4 linked regions of the Anolis sagrei genome follow. The protein of the gene in region 3 interacts with the protein of the main gene of each other region in a pairwise test. Links are inferred from orthologs where the notes say so. Each region holds a gene or a part of one and is shown on either strand. Other genes may lie near its edges.

Evidence for each region.
Region 1: the proteins of CCNDBP1 (region 3) and CCDC146 interact in binary tests that used the Homo sapiens proteins (3 or more experiments, as listed by UniProt). The two-hybrid records come from large-scale screens. The link is inferred for Anolis sagrei from reciprocal best matches to the Homo sapiens genes CCNDBP1 and CCDC146.
Region 2: the proteins of CCNDBP1 (region 3) and ILF2 interact in a two-hybrid assay, tested with the Homo sapiens proteins (2 studies listed by BioGRID and IntAct). The two-hybrid records come from large-scale screens. The link is inferred for Anolis sagrei from reciprocal best matches to the Homo sapiens genes CCNDBP1 and ILF2.
Region 4: the proteins of CCNDBP1 (region 3) and AMPD2 interact in binary tests that used the Homo sapiens proteins (3 or more experiments, as listed by UniProt). The two-hybrid records come from large-scale screens. The link is inferred for Anolis sagrei from reciprocal best matches to the Homo sapiens genes CCNDBP1 and AMPD2.

The regions. Positions count from the first base shown.
Region 1 is NC_090025.1:85,572,817-85,580,670, reverse strand, and holds the start of CCDC146 (coiled-coil domain-containing protein 146), read right to left. Parts: upstream 3,007-7,854; 5' UTR 2,851-3,006; intron 1-2,850. Other genes in the region: protein FAM185A, read left to right, coding at 3,286-3,772, 6,620-6,729. UniProt on the Homo sapiens protein: Essential for sperm flagellum biogenesis and male fertility.
Region 2 is NC_090032.1:1,536,525-1,544,129, forward strand, and holds the start of ILF2 (interleukin enhancer-binding factor 2), read right to left. Parts: upstream 3,011-7,605; 5' UTR 2,884-3,010; coding exon 2,879-2,883; intron 1-2,878. UniProt on the Homo sapiens protein: Chromatin-interacting protein that forms a stable heterodimer with interleukin enhancer-binding factor 3/ILF3 and plays a role in several biological processes including transcription, innate immunity or cell growth.
Region 3 is NC_090024.1:247,310,710-247,318,546, forward strand, and holds the start of CCNDBP1 (cyclin-D1-binding protein 1), read right to left. Parts: upstream 3,009-7,837; 5' UTR 2,810-3,008; coding exon 2,746-2,809; intron 2,664-2,745; coding exon 2,550-2,663; intron 2,441-2,549; coding exon 2,361-2,440; intron 1-2,360. UniProt on the Homo sapiens protein: May negatively regulate cell cycle progression. May act at least in part via inhibition of the cyclin-D1/CDK4 complex, thereby preventing phosphorylation of RB1 and blocking E2F-dependent transcription.
Region 4 is NC_090024.1:184,411,417-184,419,057, reverse strand, and holds the start of AMPD2 (AMP deaminase 2), read left to right. Parts: upstream 1-4,635; 5' UTR 4,636-4,795; coding exon 4,796-4,889; intron 4,890-7,641. UniProt on the Homo sapiens protein: AMP deaminase plays a critical role in energy metabolism. Catalyzes the deamination of AMP to IMP and plays an important role in the purine nucleotide cycle.

The sequences.
Region 1 (7,854 bases), on a different chromosome or scaffold from region 3:
TTGAAAGAGTAGAGACATCACACCAGCAACAAAGATCCGCATAGTCAAAGCAATGGTATTCCCACCTTTTTTCATCTGCAGCAGGTTAGACGGCTGGCCCCCTACCTGTCCAGGGACGACCTAGCTATGGTGATCCAGGCCACGGTCATCTCAAGACTGGACTACTGTAACGCCCTCTACATTGGCCTTCCTCTGTCGGTGATCTGGAAGCTCAAGTTGGTACAAAATGCAGCTGCTCGGCTTCTTGCGGGAATTCTGATGAGATGCCACATAACACCAATCTTACTACAGCTGCATTGGTTACCAATTGAGCACCGGATTACTTTCAAAGTGATGGTACTCACCTTTAAGGCCTTGCATGGTCTGGGGCCGATGTACCTGAGGGACCGCCTCACCCCCTACCAACCCCAGAGATCCCTCCGTTCTGAGGACCAAGATCTATTGGAAATTCCCAGCGTCAAGACCTTGCGTCTAACAGCAACCAGGCGCAGAGCCTTCACAGCAGTGGCACCATCGCTCTGGAATACTCTGCCACCTTGCGGGACCTATCAGCTTTCCGCAGGGCATGTAAGACATATCTGTGTCAACAGACCTTTGATGTCTGATATTGTTGTTTTTAGAATCATAGAATCATGGAATCAAAGAGTTGGAAGAGACCTTATGGGCCATCCAGTCCAACCCCTTGCCAAGAAGCAGGAATATTGCATTCAAATCACCCCTGACAGATGGCCATCCAGCTTCTGTTTGAAAGCTTCCAAAGAAAGAGCCTCCACCACACTCCGAGGCAGAGAGTTCCACTGCTGAATGGCTCTCACAGTCAGGAAGTTCTTCCTCATGTTCAGATGGAATCTCCTCTCTTGCAGTTTGAAGCCATTGTTCCGTGTCCTAGTCCTCAGGGAAGCAGAAAACAAGCTTGCTCCCTCCTCCCTGTGGCTTCCTCTCACATATTTATACATGGCTATCATATCTCCTCTCAGCCTTCTCTTCTTCAGGCTAAACATGCCCAGCTCCTTAAGCCGCTCCTCATAGGGCTTGTTCTCCAGACAATTTAAATTGTTTTTAAATTGTTTTGTTGTTGTTCATTCATTCAGTCGTCTCCGACTCTTCGTGACCTCATGGACCAGCCCACGCCAGAGCTCCCTGTCGGCCGTCACCACCCCCAGCTCCTTCAAGGTCAGTCCAGTCACTTCAAGGATGCCATCCATCCATCTTGCCCTTGGTTGGCCCCCTCTTCCTTTTGCCTTCCGTCACTTTCCCCAGCATAATTGTCTTCTCTAGGCTTTCCTGTCTCCTCATGATGTGGCCAAAGTACTTCAACTTTGTCTCTAGTATCCTTCCCTCCAATGAGCAGTCGGGCTTTATTTCCTGGAGGATGGACTGGTTGGATCTTCTCGCAGTCCAAGGCACTCTCAGAACTTTCCTCCAACACCACAGCTCAAAAGCATCTATCTTCCTTCGCTCAGCCTTCCCTAAGGTCCAGCTCTCACATCCGTAGGTTACTACAGGGAATACCATGGCTTTGACTAGGCGGATCTTTGTTGCCAGTCTGATGTCTCTACTCTTTACTATTTTATCGAGACTGGACATTGCTCTCCTCCCAAGAAGTAAGCGTCTTCTGATTTCCTGGCCACAGTCTGCATCTGCAGTAATCTTTGCGCCTAGAAATACAAAGTTTGTCACGGCCTCCACATTTTCTCCCTCTATTTCCCAGTTGTCAATCATTCTTGTTGCCATAATCTTGGTTTTTTTTATGTTTAGCTGCAACCCAGCTTTTGCGCTTTCTTCTTTCACCTTGATTAGAAGGCTCCTCAGCTCCTCCTCGCTTTCGGCCATCAGAGTGGTGTCATCTGCATCTCTGAGGTTGTTAATGTTTCTTCCAGCAATTTTCACCCCAGCCTTGCATTCATCAAGCCCCGCATATCGCATGATGTGTTCTGCATACAAGTTAAAAAGGTTGGGTGAGAGGATGCAGCCTTGCCGTACGCCTTTCCCAATCTTGAACCAGTCTGTTGTTCCGTGGTCAGTTCTGACTGTTGCTACTTGGTCCTTGTACAGATTCCTCAGGAGAGAGACACGGTGGCTTGGTATGCCCATCCCACCAAGAACTTGCCACAATGTATTATGATCCACACAGTCAAAGGCTTTAGAATAGTCAATGAAGCAGAAATAGATGTTTTTCTGAAACTCCCTGCCTTTCTCCATTATCCAGCGAATTTTGGCAATCTGGTCTCTTGTTCCTCTGCCTTTTCTAAACCCAGCTTGCACATCTGGTAACTCTCGTTCCATGTATTGCTGGAGTCTTCCTTGCAGGATCTGGAATATTGTGTCCAATTCTGGGCACCACAATTCAAGAAAGATATTGACAAGCTGGAATGTGTCCAGAGGAGGGTGACTAAAATGATCAAGGTTCTGGAGAACAAGCCCTATGAGGAGCGGCTTAAAGAGCTGGGCATGTTTAGCCTGAAGAAGAGAAGGCTGAGAGGAGATATGATAGCCATGTATAAATATGTGAGAGGAAGCCACGGGGAGGAGGGAGCAAGCTTGTTTTGTGCTTCCCTGGAGACTAGGACGCGGAACAATGGCGTCAAACTACAAGAAAGGAGATTCTATATGCCTTTATATTCTGGGTGATATGGCTGTGAAGAAAGGCCTTCCCTCTCTTCCCTTCGACCTTTCCCTTTTCCCCTACTGAGAGAATGGAGCATGAGGACCCTTTTGCTCCGTGAAGCCACTTAAAACAATTGAAGTAAACCGAGGGGAAAGTGGGGGCATCTACACTGCAGAATGAACGCAGTTTGACATAACTGTATCTACTCATTCGACCTCCTTCCCAGCCTTGGCCCGCTTTACCCTTTCAGCTCCCACGACGCTCCTGCCGCCTTTCCCTCAGCGTCGTGCGTTCCCATGGAAACCGACGCTCTGCTTCCGCCTCTTCCCGCCTCTTCCGCCTCCTTTCTTCTTATTGGCTGTTCCTTCCGCACCGCACGAAAACATCCTCTCTTCCCAGTCGCTGTTGACGCTCTGCATTCTGGGAGTTGTCGTTCAAGACTCTCAGAAAAATTGAGTGGAAACCACATTTCCCAGCAGCCACTTGGGCATGGCTAGGCTAGTGTAGTGCCTGAAGGACAGTTCACAGGCCCTAGTTTTAGACATTTTTTGAAACCAGAGGGTGGGCTTGTCTCTCATGCAAGGAGCCAAAGAGTCTACAAAGTCTTGGGCTGTGGAACCATCTATTTTTGTGGAAGGAGAAGCTGCCTTGGTCGACTAAGCCCAGACAGGTAGGGCATGATGATGCTGCCTCTCTTGCCCAGATGTTGGCACTTGGCAGCTGGGATCCCAGCAAGGAACTGGTTCCTGTCTGGTGGAGGAGGCCTTGCTGGGCAGGAAACATGGAGTGGCACCTGCCAACTACTGCCTCGCTTGCTTTCAACCAGCCCTGGCAGCAGAAGTCAAGATCCCTCTCAACCCAAAGAGCCCAGGCCAGAGAACAGGGAAGCCCTCAAGGAGTGGGCCCTGGCTGTGTGCCCCTTTGGCTCACTGAAGGCCCGCCTCCCTTGCCACATCACTCTGTGCCCCCTGGACCCCCACAAGCACCCTGATGGAGACAGGGTTTTCGTGACCGTGAAAGGGGCCAACGCCGAGATGCACCACCCAAGATCAAGCCTGGATTCTTTGCAGGTGAAATACGACGAGGGGCTTAAGCAAGTGAGCATCATCTCAGGTGGCGTGGACAGTGCTGCCTCGGTGGATGTGAGAATGCCCATGAAATTTGGTACGTGTGTCGTGAATGACTTTTACAGTATATATATATATATATATATATTCACCCTTCTCACCCCGCAGGGGACTCAGGGCAGATTACAATGTACATATACATGGCAAATATTCAATGCCATAGACACACAACATATATAGACAGACACACAGAGGCTATTTAACATTATTTATTTATTTATTTACCTTACTTATATACCGCTGTTCTCAGCCCGAAGGCGACTCACAGCGGTTCACAACAAATATGAACAGCAAAAATTCAGTGCTACAGTATAAAAACAGTTAACAACCTAACACATTACACAATTAATAAACAGTTACTACAATACCCATTCACAATACCCATTCCAGCTTTCATGAGGGTATTCTGGCCACCAGGGGAACTGTTGCTTCACTGTCCATTTGTGACACTGATGAAGTACTTCCTCATTCTTTGCACGCTTGCTGGAAATTGTTATGACATCGTAAATTAGTTAAATTAGCCTCCCCACATAAGCGGTACCTAAATTTCCTACTTGACGGATGCAACTGTCTTTCGGGCTGCAAAGGTCGACAGCAAACTACAAAAATTGGTTGGAAGCTCACTCTGACCCGGGCTGGCTTCGAACTCATGAACTTTCGTTCAGTAGTGATCTTAATGCAGCTGACTCCCAGCCAGCTGCGCCACAGTCTCAGTGATTCCATAGCAGTTTTCACAAATAAGATATCAAAACAATGATAAAAACTAATATGCAGAAGAAAAACAATATACTTAGCAAGATTTTTGAAAACCAGGTTTTGGGAGATGAAGAATGACTTTGCTTGTTACATAAAAAGAGCACCATTTGGCCATGAGAAGATCAGAAGACTTTTCAATGACTTTGAAGCATAGGTTCTTTTTATTGCAATTTCCAGTCTGAGAAGGTATATCAGTTTACAGAAAACATTTAGGCAAAGAATGACATTGGACACACAGACATACAGATTCTATGCAACTACATTGGATTTACAATTATTATTATTATTATTATTATTATTATTATTAACTTTATTTGTACCCCGCTAACATCTCCCAAAGGACTCGGTGCGGCTTACAAAGGCCAAGGCCCTCAATAAACAACAGCATAACAAAAACAACAATAAAATTCAAAAAGCAAACCAATAAACATTAAAGCAATAACAGTAAACATTAAACAATAACACCATGACACATTTAAAAATTAAGGGTCGGGCCAAATGCAATGAATAAGATTAAAAGTGCTGGACATGACAGGTGAAATGTAAGGATTTTAGAGTAGGTGCGATGTGCAGACAATCTTAAATCTCTAATAAAGTGCTTTTGGGACATGATGCTGGGAGTTTCCTATTCTGGAAAGGCACACTGGAACAGCCAGGTCTTCAAGCTCCTCCTAAAGACTGCCAACGTTGGGGCTTGTCTGATGTCCTTGGGGAGAGAGTTCCAGAGCCGGGGGGCTACCACAGAGAAGGCCCTGTCCCTCGTCCCCACCAAACGCGCTTGCGACGCAGGTGGAATCGTGAGCAGGGCCTCTCCAGATGAACGGAGGGATCATGTGGGTTCATATACGGAGATGCGGTCACAAACAAAGTGGAATTATAATTTCACTCAACATTCACACACATGTACATGCATTCATCCACATGCATCCAAAATATTACCATATCATTTTCTCCCTCCTTGGAGAAGCACCTCTTAGGCCAGACCCTGCTTTCCTGCAGCCTGCCAATGTATAGTTCCATAACTTCCATAATGCCAAAACTTCAAAACGCCGAAATGTTGAAACTTCTTTCCCTAAACACAATGCCAAGGACCAGATCTCTGTTTTTCATATGGCAGAACCTGACTCCCTGCACAAATCTAAGACTCCAAAAGCACACTTCTTCCTCTTCCCTTGAGAAAGAAGCCCCAAAGTGACCAGACTACTCCCGTGCAGATCTGCCACTGTCTGAATACACCATCTCTCTCCTTCCCATGGAGTAGAGCATGGCAGGTGAACAGCATCTCTTTCTGTCATTTGAGCATTATTAGACTGAGTCTTTTATAGGAATATTCTGTTGATGTAGTCCCAAAGTTGTAAATTAATGATAGACGTCTTCCATCCTGGATCCATCTCAGTGTTGATTTTTCTTGATTGGTGTTAACAAACACAAGGCTTGTGTTGACTTTCTTCTTAACATAAGGAAGGTTACAAACATTTCCTTTATCACTGTCCCGTTCTTATCAGGGTTTCTCATTAGCAAGTCCAGCAAGCAGATATTAGTCATTGCAGGCCTTAATATCATACTGGTGTTTCCAAAATACATCCATCCATCCCTCCATTCTTCCATTCATTCCCAGACATCCTTATATCAAATCTGCACATTGAATTTTTATTACATGTGCTGGAAGAGAGTGTCCAAAGACCCAGAAGCAGAGCTTTCCTACCATTTGGGGGAATACATCCTTTCACGACACAGTAATTAAGTTTTAATAATAATAGTAATAATAATAATAATAATAATAATAATAAACTTGGCAGGGGGTTGGACTGGATGGCCCATGAGGTCTCTTCCAACTCTTTGATTCTATGATTTGTTATGTTTTGTGTTATATTGTGTGTACTGTACTGATGGGTGTGGCCTCATGTAAGCCGCACCGAGTCCCCCTGGGGGAGATGGAGTGGGGTATAAATAAAGTTTATTATTATTATTATTATTATTATTATTATTAAGACCATAGACTTCCTGTTGCTCATTAATGTTGTGAATGTGGTATGGTACTTCCTTTATTATTTGTAGCTTTGCTAACTGAAATAACACATTTATTGTGCTGAATTCCATTTATCTTGCAATTTGATATTTATTTTAGACTTGGATATCAAGACATCAGGAAATGGCTGTGTAAAAGTTGAGAAAATTGAATGTGATAACTGCAGAATAGAAACAGAGAGCGGAACGAGCGTTCTTCAATCAGTAAAGGTACTGAAGAAACAGATTTCCAATTGCTTCCTAACTTTCCTTTTTAATAAGTCCTATGTTATAATGATGATGATGATTATTATTATTATTATTATGTTTATTATGTTTATTTCTACCCCTTTTTATCTCCCCAAAGGGGACTCATTATGATTGTGAATTATGCTTATTCACTTGCATATGCAGTGAATAATGACTTAAAATCCTTTAGAATATTTGCATTTTTCTGGATACTGTTACATTCTATTTCAGCCCTGCAATTACAGAAAAGGCTTTAGAATCAGAGACTTTAATATTATTCTGTATTGGTTCGGACAACGTCAACTGATACCCACGGAAAGATAATCCTAATATATAAATTAGTTAGTTTATTCAGTTCAGCCTTTTCTGTGGCAAAACCTCTTTCCAAAAAGGTTCATATTAGTGCATATAGTTTACTATCATTTCCGTTTATTGGCAGTGACTCTCCAAAGACTTGGAGATATCAAATTTTCAGGAAGTCCTCCTGTGGTAGTACCTTCATTGTCTACACCAGTGGTTTCCAACCTGTGGTCAGTGGACCACCAGTGGTCTGCAAGAACTAAAATATGGTCCGTGGCCTCACTGCTACTACACCATTGCAACGAGAGCAACTGGTCTCGCAAAACGCTGTGCCGTAGCTTATTAAATATGGTTTTCTGTGGGCGAGCAGATGATGACTACTGGATGGCATCTGTTCTTTATCAGAAACTAGAGCTAATGTGGTCTATCCAATGCAGTTTTCTGAATCAGCACCCGAAATACCCAAATCGAATCTAAAGTTGTCCAAAAATTGATTTGTAATCCTTTTGGTACTAATGTTGGATAGTGATCCCTGGTCAAGTGGTTTCTGGTCAAAAAAAGGTTGGAAACTACTGCTCTATACTCTGATGTGTCTGGTTCGCCATTTTTTGTCTAGGAAGGATTGTGTTACTTGAAGTACCTTATTAGGGGAACACTTTTGAGCATGGAAATGCAATGGGGGGATCATTTTCTGTTGGGTTTAGCTTGCCATGCAGGCAGCATCACATTCTAGAGGGGTGATTGAGAGATTCAAATGAGTCTGAATAGAAATAGAAAAGGGGGAGAGAGAATAAGAAGGTTAACTCT
Region 2 (7,605 bases), on a different chromosome or scaffold from region 3:
TTACACCCACACAAATATATACAGTACTAGCTGTGCCCTGCCATGCGTTGCTGTGGCCTATAGTAAAACTTATCAAAGTTGAGGTAGATATCTGGACTATTATGAAAGAGAGGTACCTACCTCTTCCTTCCCCCTTTTCCTCCCCCTTTCTCTCCTTTCTTCCTTCTCTACCTCTTTCTTTCTTTCCTTCTTTCACTACTTGGTTTCATCCTTCTCTCTTTCCTTCATTCCCTCCCCCTTTCTTCCTTTGCCTTTCTTCCCTCCCTGTTTGCTTCCTTCTTTCGCTTTTTATTTCCTTTTATTTCACCACCATCATAACAATAGCAATAATGCAATGCATTGCCTCCGGGACCTGACACCTCTCCCATTCCCCCTAAAAGGGTCTCAGAGGAATAATAGCATCATAATAATCATAGAAATAACAACCTTTACCCGCCACGCATTGCTGTGACCAACCTTCCCTCTTTCTCTCCTTCTTTCCCTCCTTCCTTCCTTCCCTCCCATCTTTCCTTCTCCTCTTCCTTCTCTATCTCCTTCCTTCCCCCTTTTTCTTTCTCTTCTGGCCTCTTTCCTTCCTTCTCTCTTTCCTTCTTTCCTTCCCTCCCTCTTTCTCTACATCTTCCCCCTTTCTTCACTCCCTCTTTCCTTCCTTCATTCCCTTTTTTCTTTCCTTCTCTCCTTCCTTCCTTCCCCCTTTTTCTTTCTCTTCTGGCCTCTTTCCTTCCTTCTCTCTTTCCTTCTTTCCTTCCCTCCCTCTTTCTCTACATCTTCCCCCTTCCTTCACTCCCTCTTTCCTTCCTTCATTCCCTTTTTTCTTTCCTTCTCTCTTTCCTTCCTTCCCCCTTTTTCTTTCTCTTCTGGTCTCTTTTCTTCCTTCTCTCTTTCCTTCTTTCCTTCCCTCCCTCTTTCTCTACATCTTCCCCCTTCCTTCACTCCCTCTTTCCTTCTTTCATTCCCTTTTTTCTTTCCTTCTCTCCTTCCTTCCTTCCCCCTTTTTCTTTCCCTCCCTCTGTCTCTCATTTCTTCCTTCTCTACCTCTTTCCTTCCTTCCCCCTTTTTCTTTCTCTTCTGCTGTCTCTCTTTTCTTTCCTTCCATCTTTCCTTTTCTTTCCTTTTCTTCTTCCTTCTTTCTCTAACTTTCCTTCCTTCCCCCTTTTCTTTATCTCCCTTTCTCTTTCTTCCTTCTTTCCTTCCTTCCTGTCTTTCCTGGATTTTGACAGGGCGGGAAGGGGTGCGGTGGGGTTTGGAGGTGGCGTGAAGTAAAAGGAGGTAAGATTGGGGCAGGCAAGTGATGGAGCGTGAGGTTGTGTGTGTGTGTGCGGCAGCGGGGGGAGTGATGGAGCGTGGGGTTGCGTGTGTGTGTGCGGCAGCGGGGGGGAGTGGGGTTGCGCGTGTGTATGTGGCGGTGGGGGAGTGATGGAGCGTGGGGTTGCGTGTGTGTGTGCGGCGGGGGGAGTGATGGAGCGTGGGGTTGTGTGTGTGCTTGCGGCGGGGTGTGTGTGTACGGGAAGGAGCGTAGCGGGGCTTGGAGTGGGCATGGCTTCCGCAGAGGGAACTGTGTGCGCGCGCCAGGGAACTTGCGGCTGGGCACCAATGCGCATGCTCAATTGTTTTGCCGTTTTGTGAGTGTGTTGTTGTGTTGTTTTTCATTTTGAGTAGATATGTTTGTACCTTGTGGGTTGTCTTATGGGCATGGCAATTTTGGTACAGTTTCGTTGGGGGGTTTTTGAGTTTTGTTTCCTCGTTGGATGCCCCTAACAAATTTATATATATAGATTAAATCTTATACAATATTTAAAATTATATAAGTATAACATAATATATATATATATGGTGATTTAAGGCCTTTATATAGTCTGTGCATATTATATATATATATATATATATATATATATATATAGCATTAAATATATTGAGTATCTATAATATATTAAATAAACTATTTAATATTTAATATCGTATAATATTTAATATGCGTGTGATATATTATATTATATATAGTTATAATATATTATCTATATATTAAATTATATCTATATTATCTATAATATAGATAATATAGATGATTATATATTATATTGTAGATATATTATCTATAATATAACATATATTATATGAAAATTATATATTAATTTAATATATATGAGATAAATGAAATACTATATATATTATTTAATACTGTATAATGTTTAATATATAGATCATATAGATATTATAGAGAATGTATCTATATTATCTATTATCTATATTATAGATAATATATCTACAATTTAATATATAGATAATATAGATACATTCTCTATAATATGTATATGATATTATATCTAATATATAGATCATATAGATATAATATCAGATAGATATTATATATATTATAGAGAATGTATCTATATTATCTATATATTATTTATATATTAAATTTAATATATATGAGATAAATAAAATACTACATATATTATTTAATGTGTAATGTTTAATATATAGAACATTATACAATATTAAATAATATACATAGTATTTTATTTATCTCATATATATTAAATAAATATATAATTTTCATATAATATATATTTTATATTTAGTATTATATATTATATTTAATAATATAATATATATATTATATATTAAATTAAATATTATTATATTATAATAACATTATATATATACATATATATATATTATATTAAATATTATAATATTATAATAATATTAAATATTAAATATTAAATATACATATAATAATATAATATATTTATTAAATTAAATACTATAATATTATAATAATATTATATATATATATATATATATATAATATACATAATATAATATGTATATTTCCATATTTCCATCTCTCTCTCTGACTTCTCCCTCTTTTTACCTCATGCTTCCTTCCAGTGAGAACCGTTCCGAGTCCGCAAAGCGCCTCTTCCTCCCTGAAGACCCTCCGCGAAGAATAACCACCCGGCCCGCTCTTTCGCCGCCGCCTTTGTCCACCTCGCAAGAAGCGTCGACGCGATTGGCCTTCCCAAGTGAGTAAAACCCGCCGTGGTAGGTTCCTAACCTTGCAGCCAATTCCTGTCTCGCGTTCCTCTTTTTTCCCCGCCCTTTCTTTCAGGTTCTGTGATTTTATTGGCTTCTGGGCCTATCAATCAGGCCGCGCGCGCACACCCTTTTCTCTTTTTTCTCCTCGTTCGCCAATAGGAGAAAGGAGAGAGGAGGAGAAAGGAGCGCATGCGCAGTGCCTCATTGGAGGCGATTGAGAGGAGAAAGGGACGCATGCGCAGTGCCTCACTAGGAGGAGAGGGAGAGAAAGGGACGCATGCGCAGTGCCTCACTAGGAGGAGATTGAGAGAAAGGGGCGCATGCGCAGTGCCTCACTAGGAGGAGATTGAGAGGAGAAAGGGACGCATGCGCAGTGGCTGACTAGGAGGAGATTGAGAGGAGAAAGGAACGCATGCGCACTAGGAGGAGAGAAGAGGCGAAAGGGGCGCATGCGCAGTGCCTCACTAGGAGGAGAGAGAAGAGGAAAAAGGGACGCATGCGCAGTGCCTCACTAGGCAGAGATGAGAGAAGAGAAAGGGACGCATGCGCAGTGCCTCACTAGGAGGAGATGAGAGAAGAGGCGAAAGCGGTGCATGCGCAGTGCCTCACTAGGAGGAGATGGAGAGAAGAGAAAGGGACGCATGCGCAGTGCCTCCCTAGGAGGAGATGGAGAGAAGAGGCGAAAGGGGCGCATGCGCGGTGCTTCCCTAGGAGGAGAGACTCCAAAGGAAATGACTCCAAGAAACGTGCGCATGCGCAGAACGTGACATGCTCTTATGTACTCCCTAAGCCGCCTGGAGTTCCAATGGAGCAGAGTGGCGCAGCGGAAGCGTGCTGGGCCCATAACCCAGAGGTCGATGGATCGAAACCATCCTCTGCTAATTTTTTCCCCTCTCTTCAAATTATTCAAATTAATATTCAAATGAATATTAATTACAGTAATTCATTTCTAAGTAGGTACGTGCTTCTCCTAAATTAACAAAGTGTGCTTAATGTTGTGTTTAAGGGAGAATTAAATTATCATTGCTATTTGCTAATTATTATTAATTATTATTATTAATTATAATAATTAATAATTAGTATTAATAGGATACCTAATAATTATTAATATTAATTATTAATATTAATTAATATTATTTATTATTTAATAAATAATAATAATAATAATTAATAATAATTAGCAATGATAATTTAATTCTCCCTTAAACACAACATTAAGCACGCTTTGTTAATTTAGGAAAAGCCCGTACCTACTTGGAAATTACTGTAATTAATATTCATTTGAATTTTGTTTTGGTTTTTTAATATAAATCAATATAAATAATTATTAATAGTTAATGATTAATAGGTATCCTAACTATTAATAATTATTAATATTATATAAATAATAATTAATAGTTAAGATACCTATTAATCATTAACTATTAATAATTATTTATATTAATTATTAATATTACTTAATATTAAAATTTAATTAATTTTAATTAATAGAATGCTTATTAATCATTAACTATTAATAATTAATTATATTAATTATTAACATTAATTAATATTAATATTTAATTAATATTAATTAATAGGATGGCTATTAATTGTTAACTATTAATAATTAATTATATTGATTATTAATATTAATTAATGTTAATATTTAATTAATATTAATTAATAAGATGTCTATTAATTGATATTAATTAAATATTAACATTAATTAATATTAATCATCAATCAAAATCAAAATATTAATTATATTAATATTAATTATAATTTCGTTATATTATATTAGCTATATTCGTTATATCAATAATATTAATTATTAATATTCATTATTAACTATTAATAATTGATTACTTGAATTATTAATATTAATTAATATTAATATTTAATTAATATTAATTAATAGGATGCCTACTAAGTATTAACTATTAATACTTATTTATATTAATCACTAATATTAATTAATATTAATATTTAATTAATATCAATTAATAGGAAACTATTAACTATTAATATTAATTATAATTTAGTTATATTAAATTAGCCATATTCGTTATATTAATAATAATATTAATTATTAATATTAATTATTAACTATTAATATAATATAATTAATTATTCACAAGTAATAACAATTAAGAATATTAATAATTAATTGATTATTTATATGGTGTCCTGGGGAGGCCATAGATGTTTATAGCACTGATGACAGTGATGATGATGAGAATCATAATAATTAGTACTAATGAGAGACCTTGTGGAGCAGAAGAGGGCATTCCTAGCACTGACCACCAGGTGGCGATATTGCCCGCCTCACTTTAGGGCTCCAGTGAGTCTGTAATTATTATTCTTCTAATTGTAGTGTTGTTGTTGTTGTTTGCAAGAGCAAATTCCCTGAGATAATAAGAATACTAATGCTAATGTTATTGGTGCAGCCAGTGCCATCTTGAGCAGGCAAGGACAAGTATGCAATATTAGTCATCGTAATAGGAATAATAATATTAATTGGTGCAGCAGGTTGAGCAGGTAAGGGCAAATATAGTGCAATAATAACAACAGCAATAATAATAATAATAATAATAATAATAATAATAATAATAATAATAATAATAATAATAATAATAGATATTTATATGTGCAACAGGTTCCCTCCTGAGCAGGTAAGGGCAAGTATAGTGCAATAACAACAACAACAACAACAGCAATAATAATAATAATAATAATAATAATAATAATAATAACGAGAAGGAGAAGGAGAAGGAGAGTAGATATTTATAGGTGCAACAGGTTCCCTCCTGAGCAGGTAAGGGAAAGTATAGTGCAATAACAACAACAGCAATAATAATAATAATAATAATAATAATAATAGATATTTATATGTGCAACAGGTTCCCTCCTGAGCAGGTAAGGGCAAGTATAGTGCAATAACAACAACAACAACAACAACAGCAATAATAATAATAATAATAATAATAACGAGAAGGAGAAGGAGAAGGAGAGTAGATATTTATAGGTGCAACAGGTTCCCTCCTGAGCAGGTAAGGGAAAGTATAGTACAATAACAACAACAGCAATAATAATAATAATAATAATAATAATAATAATAATAATAGATATTAATAGGTGCAGCAGGTTCCCTCCTGAGCAGGTAAGGGCAAGTATAGTGCAATAACAACAACAACAGCAATAATAATAATAATAATAATAATAATAATAATAATAATAATAGGTGCAACAGGTTCCCTCCTGAGCAGGTAAGGGCAAGTATAGTGCAATAACAACAACAACAGCAATAATAATAATAATAATAATAATAATAGATATTTATAGGTGCACTAGGTTCCCTCCTGAGATGGTAAGGGCAAATATAGTGCAACAACAACAACAATAGCAGATATTTATAAGTGCAACAGGTTCTCTCTTGAGCAGGTAAGGGCAAGTATAGTGAAATAACAACAACAACAACAACAACAACAATAGATATTCATAGGTGCAACAGGTTCCCTCCTGAGCAGGTAAGGGCAAAAATAGTGTGTTGTTGTTGTTGTTTATGGGTGAAATAGGTTCCTCCCTAAATAGGTAAGGTCAAATACTGTGAATAATAATGATAATAATAATAATAATAGTAATAGATACTAATGAGTGCAACAGGTTCTCCATGAGAAGGCAAGGAAAAATATAGTGTAATAATAATAATAATAATAGACATTAATGGGTGCAACAGGTTCTCTATGGGCAGGTAAAGGCAAGTATAGTGTAAATAATAATAATAACAACAACAATAATAATAGGTATGTATGGGTGCAATAGTCTATATTGGCAAGGTGTGTTTTGGGGAGGGGTCCTTTGCCGTCCTCCGGGCAGGACGGGGTTAACCCTCCTCCTCCTCCTCTTCTTCCTCCTCCTCCTCCTCTACTTGGGCGAATAAATCCTCCTCCTTCTCTTCTCTTCTCTCAGTCACTCCTCCGGTTCCTCCTGATAGGAAGGAAGGCAGAGAGGCAGAGGCAAGTGGGAGCTACCTGGGGGTCTTGGGGGGCAGATTTGGGGGGCAGAGCAGGGACAGATTTGGGGGTACAGTGGGGTCAGTTTGGGGGAGAGATAATAGACAACTTGTGGTCAGCAGGAGAAACTTTTGGGGTTCCCTTGGGTGGGGTACCCTTGGGGGGCCAAGTCACTGGGGGTGGGTTACAACTGGGGGTTCGGACTAGATAATTTTGGGGGACAGTGGGACAAAGTATAGGGCTCTGCGGTGAGTTGACTTTTGGATCTAGTTGGGGGGGATTCGACCCCCCAAGTCCATTGGGGTTAATTCTGGGAAGGTAGTTAATCCTTTGATTAGGGGTATTGATCCAGCAAGGAGCAAACCGGCTGGATCAATACCAGCAATGTTGGATTGATTGGGGCAACTGAGGAACGGTCCGTCGGGGAGACTTAGTTTTGGGGTAACTGTTAGCCAACCTTTGGTCACAGTCAAGTAGGATCTCAACTGGGGTTCAGTGGGGTAGTTAGGCAAGGTCAGAGTAGGGTAGGGGCAACTCAAGAACGGTCGGTCGGGCAGACTTAGTTTTG
Region 3 (7,837 bases):
CGTTGCAGTAGTCTAAACGGGATGTAACCAGAGCGTGGACTACCGTGGCCTAGTCAGACTTCCCAAGGTACGGGCGCAGCTGGCGCACAAGCTTTAGCTGTGCAAATGCTCCCCTGGTCACCGCCGAAACCTGGGGTTCCAGGCTCAGGGATGAGTCCAGGGTCACACCCAAGCTGCGAACCTGAGTCTTCAGGGGGAGTGCGGCCCCATCCAACACAGGCTGTAACCCTATGCCCTGTTCGGCCTTGCGACTGACCAGGAGGACCTCTGTCTGGCAAATGGCATGCATCACCTTGACAGCATCATCTTTTAAGATTTTAAACAGTTCAGCTGGGATCCCGTCGTCTCCTGTTGCCTTGTTGTTAGCAATGCTTCTTAAGGCCCATTATATATTATATATATATATACAGTATATATAATGTGTGTGGCATGGGCAAACTTTTTGACCAACATAAACTTAACAGTATTTCAATGGAAAACTCCAGGGGACATCCAGTCCAACCCCCTCTATTCTGCCATACAGGAAAAGCACCCCCAACAGATGGCCATCCAGCCTTTGCAATAATAAGAGAGGGGTGGGGACGGCTGACAAGGAGCTCTGGCTTGGGATGATCCAGGAAGTCACAAAGAGTTGGAAGCGACGAAACGAATGAACAAAATAGGTAAATCTAAGATAAGCAGAAAGATAAGCAGGATCAAATAGTCTAGGAAATGAATCCATCAGAGTTCATGAAAAACAAATATAGAAACGTCCAAAGTAAAATTCCAAAACTTGAATCATGAATCAAAAAGGCACCTAACATGAGTATCAAACAACTATTATTATTATTATTATTATTATTATTATTATTCAAAGGCATGATGACTATCTGTCAGGAGGGCTTTGATTGTACTTTTCCTGCCTGGCAGAAGATAAGGGGCTGGGCTGGATGACCTTTGGGGGTCCCTTCCAACACTAGAATTCCATTGTTATGATGATGAAGCAGAGGTTGAGTGGCCATCTGTCCAGAGGACTCTGATGGTGCTCTTCCTGCAGAATGGCGGAATAAAGGGGGGCTGGACTAGATGACCTTTGGGGTTCCCTTCCAATTCTAAGATTCTATTGTTATTATTATTGTTATTATTATTATTAAACAGGAGCTGGATGGCCATCTATCAGGGTAGCTTTGATTGTGCTTTTCCTCCCTGAAAGAATAAAGAGGGCTGGACTGGATGACCTTTGGAGTTCCTTTCCCATTTTAGGATTCTATTATTATTATTATTATTATTACTATTATTATTATTATGAAGCAGAGGTTGGGTGGCCATCTACCGGGAGGGCTCTGATGGTGCTTTTCCTGCAAAATGGCAGAGTAAAGGGGGCTGGACTAGATGACCTTTGGGGTTCCCTTCAAATTCTAAGATTCTATTATTATTATTAAACAGGGGCTGGATGGCCATCTATCAGGGTAGCTTTGATTGTGCTTTTCCTCCCTGAAAGAATAAAGAGGGCTGGACTGGATGACCCTTGGGGTTCCTTTCCCACTCTAGGATTCTATTATTGCTATGATGGTGATATTATTATTCTTCCCCTATTATTATTATTATTATTATTCAGAGGCATAATGAGTATCTGTTGGGAGGGCTTTGACTGTGCTTTTCCTCCCTGAAAGAATAAAGAGGGCTGGGCTGGATGACCTTTGGGGCTCCCTTCCAATTCTAGGATTCTATTATTGTTATGATGGTGAAGCAGAGTCTTATTATTATTATTATTATTATTATTAAGCAGAAGTTGGGTGGCCATCTGTGGGGAGGGCTCTGATGGTGCTCTTCCTGCAGAATGGCGGGATTAAGGGGGCTGGACTGGATGACCTTTGGGGTTCCCTTCCAATTCTAAGATTCTATTATTATTAGTAGTAGTAGTAGTAGTAAACAGGAGCTGGATGGCCATCTATCAGGGTAGCTTTGATTGTGCTTTTCCTCCCTGAAAGAATAAAGAGGGCTGGACTGGATGACCTTTGGGGTTCCTTTCCCACACTAGGATTCTACTATTATTATTATTATTATTATTATTATTATTATTCAGAGGCATGATGAGTATCTGTTGGGAGGGCTTTGACTGTGCTTTTCCTGCCTGGAAGAAGATAAGGGGCTGGACTGGATGACCCTTGGGGCTCCCAATTCTAGGATTCTATTATTGCTATGATGGTGAAGCAGTCTATAATAATAATAATAATAATAATTATTCTTAAGCAGAGGTTGGGTGTCCATCTGTGGGGAGGGCTCTGATGGTGCTCTTCCTGCAGAATGGCGGAATAAATAAAGGGGGCTGGACTAGATGGCCTTTGGGGGACCCCCTTCCCTCTCCCGGAAGGACCCACCTGGCGGGGCGGCGGCGGTGGGCGGGCCAAGGCGAGGCTCAGGGCGGAAGCTTCTCGGCTGGCTGCCTCGAAGGCGCCCCCTGCAGGAGGAGGAGGAAGGAGGGAGACAGAGAGTGAGAGTGAGAGAAAGAAGTCCTCCAAGGCCATAGAGAGGCGCCCCAGAGAGAGACCTCCCCCCTGGCTACCTACCCAGGGCATCCCAGAAGCCTCCGGGGTCGAAGGCGGCCTCTTTTTCTTCGTGCTGCTGCTGCTGCTCTTCTGGCTCCTCTCGGCTTCCGTCGCCGCTCCGCCCGGCCTCTCCGCCTGCGAGACAAGCGTGCCCCTGAGCGCGTGCAGAGCGCCCCCTCTCTCTCCATCCCTCCCGAAAGGAAGGAAGGGCCCTCACCTCTCAGCCCCGACAGCGCCGCCTCCAGGCCCCCGCGCAGCGCCTCCAGCGGCGGGCACGACATCGCGGACTCCCAAGCGAAACAGCTCCAGGCCCCCGCACTCCGGCTTCCGTAGGGGAGCCGGAAGTCCTGGGGTAAGGCAGGTGACGCACTTCCTGTCCCGTGTTTTCACTGTCCCTGGGCCTCGAGTCCAGGCCGAGGCTGGGATTTTATGGTCCTCCGGGAGGAGGGCGACGGTTGCCCTGGAAACGCCCAAGAGGTAGCCCCGCCCCCTGAGGGGAAGCCCCGCCCTTCAGCCGCAGGCCCCGCCCATCTGGCTACAAGCCCCACCTTTGAGAGGAAGCCCCGCCCCCTTGAATAGTATTCGTGCCCCCTGAGAGGAAGCCCCGCCCCCAGGCTATAGGCCCCGCCCTCTTGAATATTCATGCCCCCTGAGGGGAAGCCCCGCCCTTCAGCCGCAGGCCCCGCCCATCTGGCTACAAGCCCCGCCTTTGAGAGGAAGCCCCGCCCCCTTGGGTATTATTCATGCCCCCTGAGGGGAAGCCCCGCCTCTCCGGCTACAAGCCCCGCCCTTGAGAGGAAGCCCCGCCCCCTGGAATAGTATTCATACCCCTGAGGGGAAGCTCCGCCCTTCAGCCGCAGGTCCCGCCCATTTGGTTACAAGCCCCGCCCTTGAGAGGAAGCCCCGCCCCTTGGGGGTATTATTCATGACCCCTGAGGGGAAGCCCCGCCCTTCAGCCGCAAGCCCCGCCCATCTGGCTGCAAGCCCCGCCTTTGAGAGGAAGCCCCGCCCCCTTGGGTATTATTCATGCCCCCTGAGGGGAAGCCCCGCCCTTCAGCTGAAGGCCCCTCCCTTTGAGGGGAAGCCCCGCCCCCAGGCTTTAAGCTCCTCCCCTTTGAGTGGAATTCATGCCCTTGAGGGGAAGCCCCGCCCTTCAGCTGAAGGCCCCTCCCTTTGAGGGGAAGCCCCGCCCCCAGGCTTTAAGCTCCTCCCCTTTGAGTGGAATTCATGCCCTTGAGGGGAAGCCCCGCCCTTCAGCTGAAGGCCCCGCCCATTGAGAGGAAGCCCCGCCCACCACAAAGTAAGCCCCGCTGATTGAGAGGAAGCCCCTCCCCTTGAGTGGAATTCCTCTGAGGGGAAGCCCCGCCCTACAGCTGAAGGCCCCGCATTTTGAGAGGAAGCCCCGCCCATCGGGCTACAAGCCCCGCCTTTGACAGGAAACTCCACCCCTTGAGTGATGTTCATGCCCCCTGAGGGTGCATCCCAGCCTCCCCTTCCTCATCCTCCGAGTACTCAGACCCTGACCAGGCTGCAACAATTCATGACTTGGATGAAAGTTTATTTATTTCATTTCCAAAGCATTGCATGAATAAGTATAAAACTGATTAAAAATAGAGTTAATGCAAGCGTATTACAGGGTGTGCATATGTATGCTAAGTCTTCACAAGGATCATCTCCTGTATGGGTGCGTGTTGAGGAAGAACACCTGGACAATTAAGCAATCAAGCTTGAGCCACTCCCTGCAAGGAGTATATCATGAGGAGCATTCAGATCATGAAGACAGTCGTTCATGGAGAGAAATGATGGGACTTCCATGCTGATGGTCATTCTACCATGGACTTACTACAGGACTTGCTGAAGGTCTGGACCATTTGCTACAAGACTCCTTGCAGCATTGAAGAAACAGAGAATGCACGGTTTTAATGCATTGGACTTTGTGCGAGTTATTTTCTGCAATGGACTGAGTTTATTTTCAAGGCTGGTTATTTTGTAAAGCTGCATATTGATCTCTGACTACCAGGGGCGGCTCGTCCATTACGTGAAGTAAGCGGTCGCAGAACACTTTTTTTTTGCCAGGGGCGCAGAGGCGCCTCTGTAAATGCCCCTCGACCGCCACTTGAGGAGCACCCCCTCAGCTCACAACAGCCCTAGCAGTCCGGGGGGAGCCTCAGCTTCCTTGCCTCGCTGCCGGGCGATCCTCTTCCCAAAGGGGCCGGGCCCTTGAGCCTCGCCTAGCCCCTCTCGTTCCTGCTCCACCTGGCCAGCGGGTGCGCGAGCAGAGCCGGCGCTCAATCGTTCTCCGTGTTCGATCCCTTCCCCATGACTGGCTCCCTTTCCTGATCCCCCGGCACTCCACCCGCCTCCTCTCCTCTCTCGTTTCGGGTCCAGAGGCGTGTCTGAAGACCCCAGCGTGCGCACCAAAAGTCACCTCTTCTCCTGACTTTCTCTTCAGCCATTGGGACCAAGAGAGAGAGAGAGAGAGAGAGCCCCTCCGGCTGGAAGTATCTCCCACCTCCGCTCCCTCCTTTGTTTTTGCACCTACCTTCAGGAAAGGTGGGCATCTCCACCTCTCTCTCTCTCTCTTTCTCTCTCTCGGTCCCAATGGCTGAGGAGAAAGTCAGGAGAAGAGGTGACTTTTGGTGCACACACTGGGGTCTTCAGGCACGCCTCCAGACCCAAAGCGGGCCAGGCAAGGGAGCAAGTGCGGCAAGTGTAGTTACTGGGATGTATAGTTCGCCTACAATCAAAGAGCATTCTGAACTCCACCAATGATGGAACTGAACCAAATAGGGCACACAGAACTCCCACGACGAACAGAAAATATATATCAATGATTGGGTGGGGGGGGGGGAGGAGGCACCAAAATACTGTTTGCTTACCATTGAAAATTACCTAGGGCCGCCTCTGCGTACTACTCAAGGGTAAATTTTGTTTTCCCTTTTACTCTGACTGTGTGAATCAACAGAGGGCTGGGGCTGGGAAGACTGCTGAGTAGCTTCCACATAGACTGATAAACCACAACAAAGCGGTTAAAGAATTTTTGACCAAAACTGGGCAACAGCAACCGCAATGTCGGCAGCTTTAAAGAATTTTCCCTCTGTGCATGAGGCAGGGCATTCTGGACAAGCATGCGGATGCTGAGTTGTTTGTTCTGCTCCACACTCGCACAAGGTGGAGGATTCTTCTAGGCAGTGGTTGTCTTTTGATCTGCTAACTCCACTTCTGAGTCTGTTCAGGGACTTCCAAGTTGCCCATTCTTGGTTTACCTCTAGGTATGTTTATCAATAGTAGTTTATCAACGAGTAGATCAATAGGTACCGCTCCAGCGGGAAGGTAACGGTGCTCCATGCAGTCATGCCGGCCACATGACCTTGGAGGTGTCTACGGACAACGCTGGCTCTTCAGCTTAGAGTCAGACATGACTGGACTTAATGTCAGGGGACTACCTTTACCTTTACCTATGTTTATCAAGTTTTCAGATGACACCCAATTAGGAGGGAGACCTAATATTCCAGAGGACAGGATCAGGATTCAAAATGACCTCAACAAATCAGAGAGCCAATTGGCCAAAATCAACAAAATGAATCTCAACTAGGACAAATGTAAGATACGACACTTTGGCAGAAATGCAAAGATGGGTGACGGCTGGCTTGACAAGAGTTACATGGGGAAAAGACCTTGGTTGGAGTCTTCATGGAGGGCAAACCGAACATGAGCCAAGAGTGTGGTGCAGCAGCTAAAAAAGCCAATGGGATTATGGGCTGCATCCAAAGGAGTTGGTTAAGTGGACGAACACAGAGAGTGCTCACTAATGCTTCCTCTTCATCTTAGAAAGAAGTGACGAGCGGAGTGCCGCAGGGTTCCGTCCTGGGCCCGGTCCTGTTCAACATCTTTATTAATGACTTAGATGAAGGGTTAGAAGGCATGATCATCAAGTTTGCAGACGACACCAAATTGGGAGGGATAGCCAATAGTCCAGAGGACAGGAGCAGGATTCAAAACGATCTTGATTAGAGAGATGGGCCAAAACTAACAAAATGAAGTTCAACAGGGACAAATGCAAGATACTCCACTTTGGCAGAAAAAATGAAATGCAAAGAGACAGAATGGGGGACAATGCCTGGCTCGAGAGCAGTACGTGTGAAAAAGATCTTGGAGTCCTCGTGGGGAGGAAGGTAAACATGAGCCAGGAATGTGATGTGGCGGCAAAAAAAGCCAATGGGATTTTGGCCTGCATCAAGAGGAGCCTAGTGTCTAGCTCCAGGGAAGTCATGCTCACCATGCTCTATTCCGCTTTGGTTAGACCACTTTACCTGGAATATTGTGTCCACTTCTGGGCACCACAATTCAAGAGAGATATTGACAAGCTGGAATGTGTCCAGAGGAGGGCGACTAAAATGATCAAGGGTCTGGAGAACAAGCCCTATGAGGAGCGGCTTAGGGAACTGGGCATGTTTAGCCTGAAGAAGAGAAGGCTGAGAGGAGATATGATAGCCATGTATAAATATGTGAGAGGAAGCCACAGGGAGGAGGAGGGAGCAAGCTTGTTTTCTGCTTCCCTGGAGACTAGGACACAAAACAAATGGCTTCAAACTACAAGAGAGGAGATTCCATCTGAACATTAGGAAGAACTTCCTGACTGTGAGAGCTGTTCAGCAGTGGAACTCCCTGCCCTGGAGTGTGGTGGAGGCTCCTTCTTTGGAAGCTTTGAAACAGAGGCTGGATGGCCATCTGTCAGGGGTGATTTGAATGCAATATTCCTGCTTCTTGGCAGAATGGGGTTGGACTGGATGGCCCATGAGGTCTCTTCCAACTCTTTGATTCTATGATTCTATGATTCTATGAGTCCAGTGCTGCGATCAAGAGAAGTCATGGTAGCTCTCTATTTGGCTTTGGTCAGACTTCTTTACCTGGGATATCACTGTGTCCAGTTCCAGGCAAAGCAATTTCAGAAGGATGTTGACTCTGAAGCTAGGAGTCCAGAGGAAGAGGGCGACTAAAATGATCAAAGGTCTGGAGACATTAATCCCTCTGAGGAGCCTTAAGAGCTGAGTCTGTTTAGCTGTAGAGTAAAAGGTTGAGTGGAGACATGAGGAGTATCAATACGTGAAAGGATGTCCTAAGGAAGAGGGAGCAAGCTTGTTTTCTGCTGCCATGCAAAGTAGGACACAATGGAGTCACGGGTTCCAATTAGAGGAGATCGCACCTGAGCATTAGGAAGAACTTCCTGACTGTAAGAAGAGCTGTTCAGCACTGGAACTCTCTGCCTCAGACTCCAGTGAAGCTCTTTCCTTTGAAGCTTTTAAACA
Region 4 (7,641 bases), about 63 Mb from region 3:
GGCTCAATCGCAGACTCTGCCTCTCCCTTGCCGAGCTCAGCATCTTTTGCAGAAACTGCCCTGAAGGGGAGGAGCCACAAAGTCCAAAGTCTTGTCCATTGTGTCAATTTGGTTCCTTTTTTGGCAACAGAATGACCCGGCTGATGGAGAAAGACAGCTAGATATATTCCCCGCCTCTTCCTAAGTCTGGGTTTGTGTCTTAACTTCCCCGCCAATGGCGAAATGGAGGCTTGCCTTGAGGTCTCCAGCTTCTGAAAGCGAAACGAATGCTTGAGGAAGAGGTGCTGGGCCAGAGAAAGAGGCCTCAAAAAAGGTCCATCCTCTGTTTGCATTTTAATCCATGTATTTTTAAAGGCCAATCCTTTACTCGGCATTAGCCAGACTGTGGACCCAGCTCCAAAGCAATGCAGGTCCTTCCAATTTTCTTTAATATTCAAACAGGGGAGGGGGTACTCCATGTGCATGTACACCAGGCAACCTCAAACTGTGGCCCTCCAGCTGTTCGGCCCTCCAACTCCCAGAAGCCCCAGTGAGCCTATTCAGTAGTCAGGAATTTTGGGAGTTGGAAGCCCAAACAGCTGGAGGGTCACAATTTGAAGATGCCTGATCTACACTGTAGAATGAATGCAGTTTGACACCACTTTAACTTCCATGGCTCAGTGCTGTGAAATCGTGGTTGTTGTACTTTTACAAGGCCTTTAGCCTTCTTTGCCAAAGAATGCTGGAGCCTTACCAAGATACAAATCCCCTTGATTCCATATCACAAAACCATGACAATTAAAATGGTGTCAGACTGAATTCATTCTACTGCTTAGATGCAGGTGGATTGAAGGTGGTTCATAAGTGCGGTGTCCAAATTACACTTGTCCTGGTTAGAGGCAGGAGTAAGCAGTTCTGACCCCATTATTTAGGAGGTGTATCTGACTATACAATTATAGCCACCAATAGCTCTATTTTAAGGTCTCGTGGGATGTACAGTTCAATGAAGTACTTCAGATTCTCCCTTGGAGATAATTCATTCTCTCTATCATCTTTCAGGTATTTTGGACTTCAGCTCCCAGAATCCTTGAACATTTCCCAGGTGTCCTGGGCTGAAATTTTAAAGATCTGGAGGAACCACTGTCTGGTTCACTCCTTTGAACTCCACGGCCTCTTCCACACAGCTGAATAACATGATCTTCCCACATTATCTGCTTTGAACTGGAATATATAGTAATGTGGACTCCGATAACTCAGTTCAAAGCATATATTGTGGGGTTTTCTACCTTGATTTATTTATTGATATTGACAAGCTGGAATGTGTCCAGAGGAGGGCGACTAAAATGATCAAGGGTCTGGAGAACAAGCCCTATGAGGAGCGGCTTGGGGAACTGGGCATGTTTAGCCTGAAGAAGAGAAGGCTGAGAGGAGATATGATAGCCATGTATAAATATGTGAGAGGAAGCCACAGGGAGGAGGGAGCAAGCTTGTTTTCTGCTTCCTTGGAGACTAGGACGCGGAACAATGGCTTCAAACTACAAGAGAGGAGATTCCATCTGAACATTAGGAAGAACTTCCTGACTGTGAGAGCCGTTCAGCAGTGGAACTCTCTGCCCCGGAGTGTGGTGGAGGCTCCCTCTTTGGAAGCTTTTAAGCAGAGGCTGGATGGCCATCTGTCAGGGGTGATTTGAATGCAATATTCCTGCTTCTTGGCAGGGGGTTGGACTGGATGGCCCATGAGGTCTCTTCCAACTCTTTGATTCTATGATTCTATGATTTATTTATTTATTTATTTGCTTTACTTCTATACTGCCTTTCTCCGCCGAAATGGCGACTCAAGGTGGTTTACACAGTAAAGATCATCACAACAATATCAAAAAGACAATTAAAAGCAAATTATACAAATTACACCAAAACAAACAATCATTATCATAGGCCTCAGCAAACAAATCAGAATCAGAATCCGTAATCATAATCCTTTACCAAATCCTATGTTCAGTTGTACCATCTTCGTGTATTCATTGCAGTATTTAGCCAAATGCTTGTTCGTAAAGCCAAGTCTTGACCTTCCTCCGGAATGCCAGCAATGAAGGGGCCTGTCTGATGTCCACAGGTAGGGCGTTCCACAGCCGAGGGGCCACCACCGAGAAGGCCCTGTCCCTCGTCCCCGCCAACCGCGCCTGCGATGTAGGCGGGACCGAGAGCAGGGCCTCCCCAGACGATCTTAATGTCCTAGTCGGTTCATAGGAGGAGATGCGTTCGGAGAGGTAAGTATTGATATTCTGGGTTATATGGCTGTGTGGAAGGGCCCCACACCCCAGATTCCTTAACATGGTTTCAGATCACATGGTTATACAAAGTAGTGAGAAACTGATGTAACAATGTAATGCGGATACTTCTCCAGTGATGTGTGTATGTGTCATTAAGATACTGTCAACTTATAACAATCCCATTAATTTCATAAGGTTTTCCAAAAGGGACTACTCAGAAATGGTTTGCCAGTTCCTTCCTTTGAAATAGAGCCTACTGAACTTGGCATTCATTGTTGGGTTTCCATCCAAGTACTAACCAGAGCTGTTCCTGCTTAGCATCCAAGATCAGATGGGATCTGGTACCTTTAGGGCAGTGGTTCTCAACCTTTTTTCACCAGGGACAACTTGACCACTCTCCAACATTAGTACCAAAAGGGCTACAAATCAGTTTTTGGTAAACTTTAGATTTGGCTTGGTTATTTGGGATGCTGATTCAGAAAATTGCATTGGATAGACCACATCAGCTCTAGTTTCTGACACAAAACATAGGCCATCCAGTAGTTGCCATCTGCTCTCCCACAGAAAGCCATATTTAATAAGCTTCAGCACTATAAGAAGTTTCGCAAGACCAGTCACTCTCTTTGCAATGGTAGTAACAGTGAAGCTGTGGACCATATTTTAGTTCTTGCAGACCACTTGTGGTCCACGGATCACAAGTTGGGACCCACTGCTTTAGGGCATTAGGCTCTTCCTCAAGTGGGCTGCCCTCCAAAGCCAAAGGAAGTGCCACAATATGTTTTTGAGGCACCTCACCACTGGAGAAGCAATGCAGTCTGCCACCATCTTTACTGCTACGGTTCAGTGCTGTAGAATCCTGGGAGGTGTAGTTTGGCGGGACACCAGCACTCTTTAGCAAAGAGGGCTGAAGACCTTGTAAAACTGTAAGTCCCATAATTATATAGCATTGAGTCTTGATAGTTAGAGTGGTGTCAAACTGCATTTCTTCTGCAGGGTAAATGTATCCTATGCAGACACCATAGCACTGGCTTTTGTGGCCTTTCAAATATTTTGGGGTGGCAGCTCCCATCACTCCTGGCCACTAGGTAGGCAGGGTAGAGTAATGCTTTTCAAAATAGTCACCAGGGAGTCATGATCTGCCAACACATTGCATGGGTGGATGATGATGATGAGGTGCCCTACAATACTTGGAGAGACTCTGTTGCTGGCCCAGCTTTGAGGTTGCAGCTTGGCCTTCTCCTGAAAATGCCAGCCCGGGCTTCAGAAGCCTGGAGTCCCTTTGGCAAAGAGGACTCAAGCTTGCTTTCAGGATGGCTTGAACCTGGGATATTCAACAGGTGTACTTGCTTTTTAAGGCAGAGAATACCAACTGGGAGTGAGAGCAGCCTCCCCATCATGTTGTTTTTTTTAGACTAATTATTTTATTCAGAACCAAAGAAAGCATTATAATCAAACTGTCCTTGCAATGCTTGCATAGAAGTGGGAGGGCATCAGCAATGAAGGCAGAAGTTTCCAAACTGTCGTGACACGCCAATGTGTCGGCTGCAGTGTGTTGGTGCGGCACACAACTGTAACGTGAAACCTGAGTCTATAGCAGGCCTGGCCAAACTTTGGCCCTCCCAATGTTTTGGACTTCAACTCCCACCATTCCTAACAGCCCCAGGCCCCTTCCCTTTCCCCCTCAGCCTCCATCTCCCTGAAGGGACTTAGGGCGGCTTATAAGGGATGTGCCCAGCAAATACAGATTAAAAACAAACACAGAAATGCAGTCAACATTTAAAAACAATATACCCTGGTTAAAGCCTTGTGTCGGCAGGACTGAAGACTGACAAGTCGGAGGTACAAATCTGGGGAGAACGTGGATGAGCTCCCTCTGTCAGCTCCAGCTCTCCATGCGGGAACATGGGAGAAGTCCCCCACAAGGATGATAAAACATCAAAACATCCTCTGGGCAATGTCCTCGCAGACAACCAATTCTCTCACACCAGAAGCAACTTGAAGTTTCTCAAAGTCGTTCTTGACACACACACACACAAAAGGTCTGGAGTTGCATCTACATTGCAGACTTAATACAGTTTGACACTACTTTAGCTGTCAGGGCTCAGTGCTAAAGAGTCGTGGGGGTTGTTGCTGTACAAAGCTTTCTCTACCCAGGAGTGCTGGTGCCTCACTCAATTAAAAACCCCAGGCATCAAGCCAGGGCATTTTAAAGCGGTGTCAGACCGCGCTCATTGTGCAGTGTAGATGCAGAGGGTTGCTAAAGGACCCACGCAGCTCGTGCCCGTGAGGAATGCAGCTGGAGGAGGAGGGGGCTGGGCTTCAGGCCTCCTCTTTGCTTCTCCCTCCCATCCGCTGCGTCTTGAGGCGGAGGAAGTCAAGAGAGATCCAACGCCGGAGCTCCTCCTGCGCCCATCGCCGGCTCGCTTCCTCCCCGCCTGTCCATCATCCCTAGAGGAGGCGGGGCTTAGCGGAGGCCCCGCCCCTTCGCCCAGTGTCCGGAGCCTGCCTTTGAGGGGCTTCTCTTGGAAGCATTGGGAGGGAGCAAGATGTCGTCTGGAGCGGCGCCCCCGAAGAGCGGCTCTCCTTTAAGAAAGCGGGCCAGCCTTCAAGCCGTCGTGGGAGGAGGAGGAGGCGGAGGAGGTGAGCGTGGGAAGATGGCATTTCCTCCCCCAGCCCTCTTTTCCCAAGCTAGGGGGGGGTTCTCTTCATGATAAAGCACCCCAATTCCTCCCCCCTCCCTTCTTCTGCATTTCCCTGCTGTGTTTCCTTCTTCCATAGGCTAATGGCTGCTCCTTGGGTTGGTTGGATGCTTGGCTGAGCAGACTTGGGTGCATCTGTACTGTAGAATTAATGCAGTTTGACACCGCTTTGCAGCCATGGCTCAAGGCAGTGCAATCAACTGTAGCTTGACAAGATCTGTAGCCTTCTCTACCAAAGAGGGCTGGTGCATCACCAAATTTCCAGAATCCAGTAGAATTGAGCCATGGCATTGAAGTGACCAACTTCACTGTTTCTGTAGAACAGACCTGGGTGCTTTGTACTTCAACTCCCACCATTCCTAGCAGCCTCAGGCCCTTTCCTTTTCCCTTGATGCACCTTCCTCTTGGCATGCTTCTCCCTTTCGCCCTCCATTTGTGCCGCTTCGAATTCTGCAGCACTGCTGGTCACAGCTGACCTCCAGTTAGAGTTCTCAAGAGCCAGGGCTTCCCCGTACTCAGTGTCTATATCACAGCTTTTAAGGTTGGCTTTCAGCCCATCTTTAATTTTTTTTCCCCCTGTCCACCAACATTCAAGAGAATGCAGCCACCTGTGGCACAGTGGGATGATAATAATAATAATTTTATTTTTATTCCTCACCTCCATCTCTCCAAAGGGACTTAGGGCGTTTACAAGGGACGTTCCCAGCAAATACAGATTAAAAACAAACACAGAAGTGCAATCAACATTTAAAAACAATAAACCCTTGTTAAAGCCTTGTGCTGGCAGGACTGAAGACTGACAAGTCCAGACATTTTGGACTTCCAACTCCCACCATTCCTAACAGCCTCAGGCCCTTTCCTTTTCCCCTTCAGCTGCTTAAGTGGCCTGAGGCTGTTGGGAATGGTGGGAGTTGAAGTCCAAACATCTGGAGGGCCCAAGTTTGCCCATCTTGATATAGAATGATATAAAACCCTTCAATTCTTAATCTTATCCATCTGTGACGTAGATTGCACAGCCCAAGCAGAAATCTTATTTCTTGGTGTCTTGGTTTTTAGGCACGTTCCTAGGGTTATTTGAACCACTGATTCGGAAAATAGCGTCAGATAAACCACATCGGCCATAGTTTCTTAGATAAGGTTGTTGTGATTTTCTATGGGTGATCAGATGGCAACTGGTATATGGCGTATGTTCTTCATCTCACAAACTCGAGCTGATAGGGGAAGACTGGTGCCGTTTTTGGAACCGTCAGATGAAACATACCCAGAAATGAGTTTTATTTGTGTGTCGGCCAGTGATGTAATTCAGAAAGATGCACATTGCGACCTTTGTCTTCAAGGTGTGATGGGATACAGGTCTTTCACATCTTTACAAGGGTCTTTTAGGATTCATGTATAAAAACAAAGCATGTTCAGAGGTGGGTCCCTCTGTGAATGTGCAGTAAAATCCCTAAAGGCACTTATAGAATCATAGAGTTGGAAGATACCTCATGGGCCATCCAGTCCAATTCCCTGATCATGTCTGGCTCCTGGTCCTGACCTTTAATGCTCTATATAGGAGCCCCCAGTGGTGCAGTGGGTTAAACCCCTGTGCCGGCAGGACTGAAGACTGACAGGTCACAGGTTCGAATCCAGGGAGGGTGCGGATGAGCTCCCTCTATCAGCTCCAGCTCCTCATGTGGGGACATGAGAGAAGCCTCCCACAAGGGTGATAAAACATCAAAACATCCAGGCATCCCCTGGGTGATGTCCTTGCAGATTGCCAATTCTCTCACACCAGAAGCGACTTGCAGTTTCTCAAGTTGCTCCTGACATGACAAAAAATATGTTCTATATGCCAGAGGCTTAAATCCCCTACAGCAGTGGTTCCCAACCAGTGGTCCACATGAACTAAAATATGGTCTGTGGCCTCACTATTACTACACTGTTGCAATAAGGGTGACTGGTCTCGCGAAACCCTCTTATAGTGCCAAGGCTAATTAAATATGGTTTTCTGTGGGCGAGCAGATGGCAACTACTGGGTGGCCTATGTTCTGTATCAGAAACTCGAGCTGATGTGGTCTATCCAATGTAATTTTCTGAATTAGCACCCCAAATAACCAAACCGAATCTAAAGTTGACCAAAAACAGATTCGTAATCCTTTTGGTACTAATGTTGGAGAGTGGTCAAAGTGGTCCCTGGTCATATGGCCCCCTTGGTCAAATGGTCTTTGGTCAAAAAAAGGTTGGGGATCTCTGCCCTAAAGCCACCGGCTCTTGTCTGATCTTGGAAGTTAAGCAGTGTCCGTTCTGCTTAGTACTTGGATGGAAGGCCATGTACAGGTCCTGCAAACTGTTTCAGAGGACTGAACTGGCGGAACCATCTCTGGTTATGTCTTGCCTAAGAATACTCTATGGATTTTATGGGGTCACCATAAGTTAATAATAAGAAGAAGAAAAAGAAGAAGAAGAATCTTTTCTTTATATCCCACCACCATTTCCCAGAGGAACTCGGGGCGGCTCACAAAACACTCAAGGTATGACATGCAAAATGCAACAAGTGCAAAACAAAACATATGACTAGACAATAAACAATCAACACAACATCATAAATTCACAGTACCCCCTTGTAAAAACAATGAAATATAGTCATTGCTGTGGATAAAACAGCAGTATTCGATTTCAGAAATATAACATGCTAATAAAGAATCTAAAGG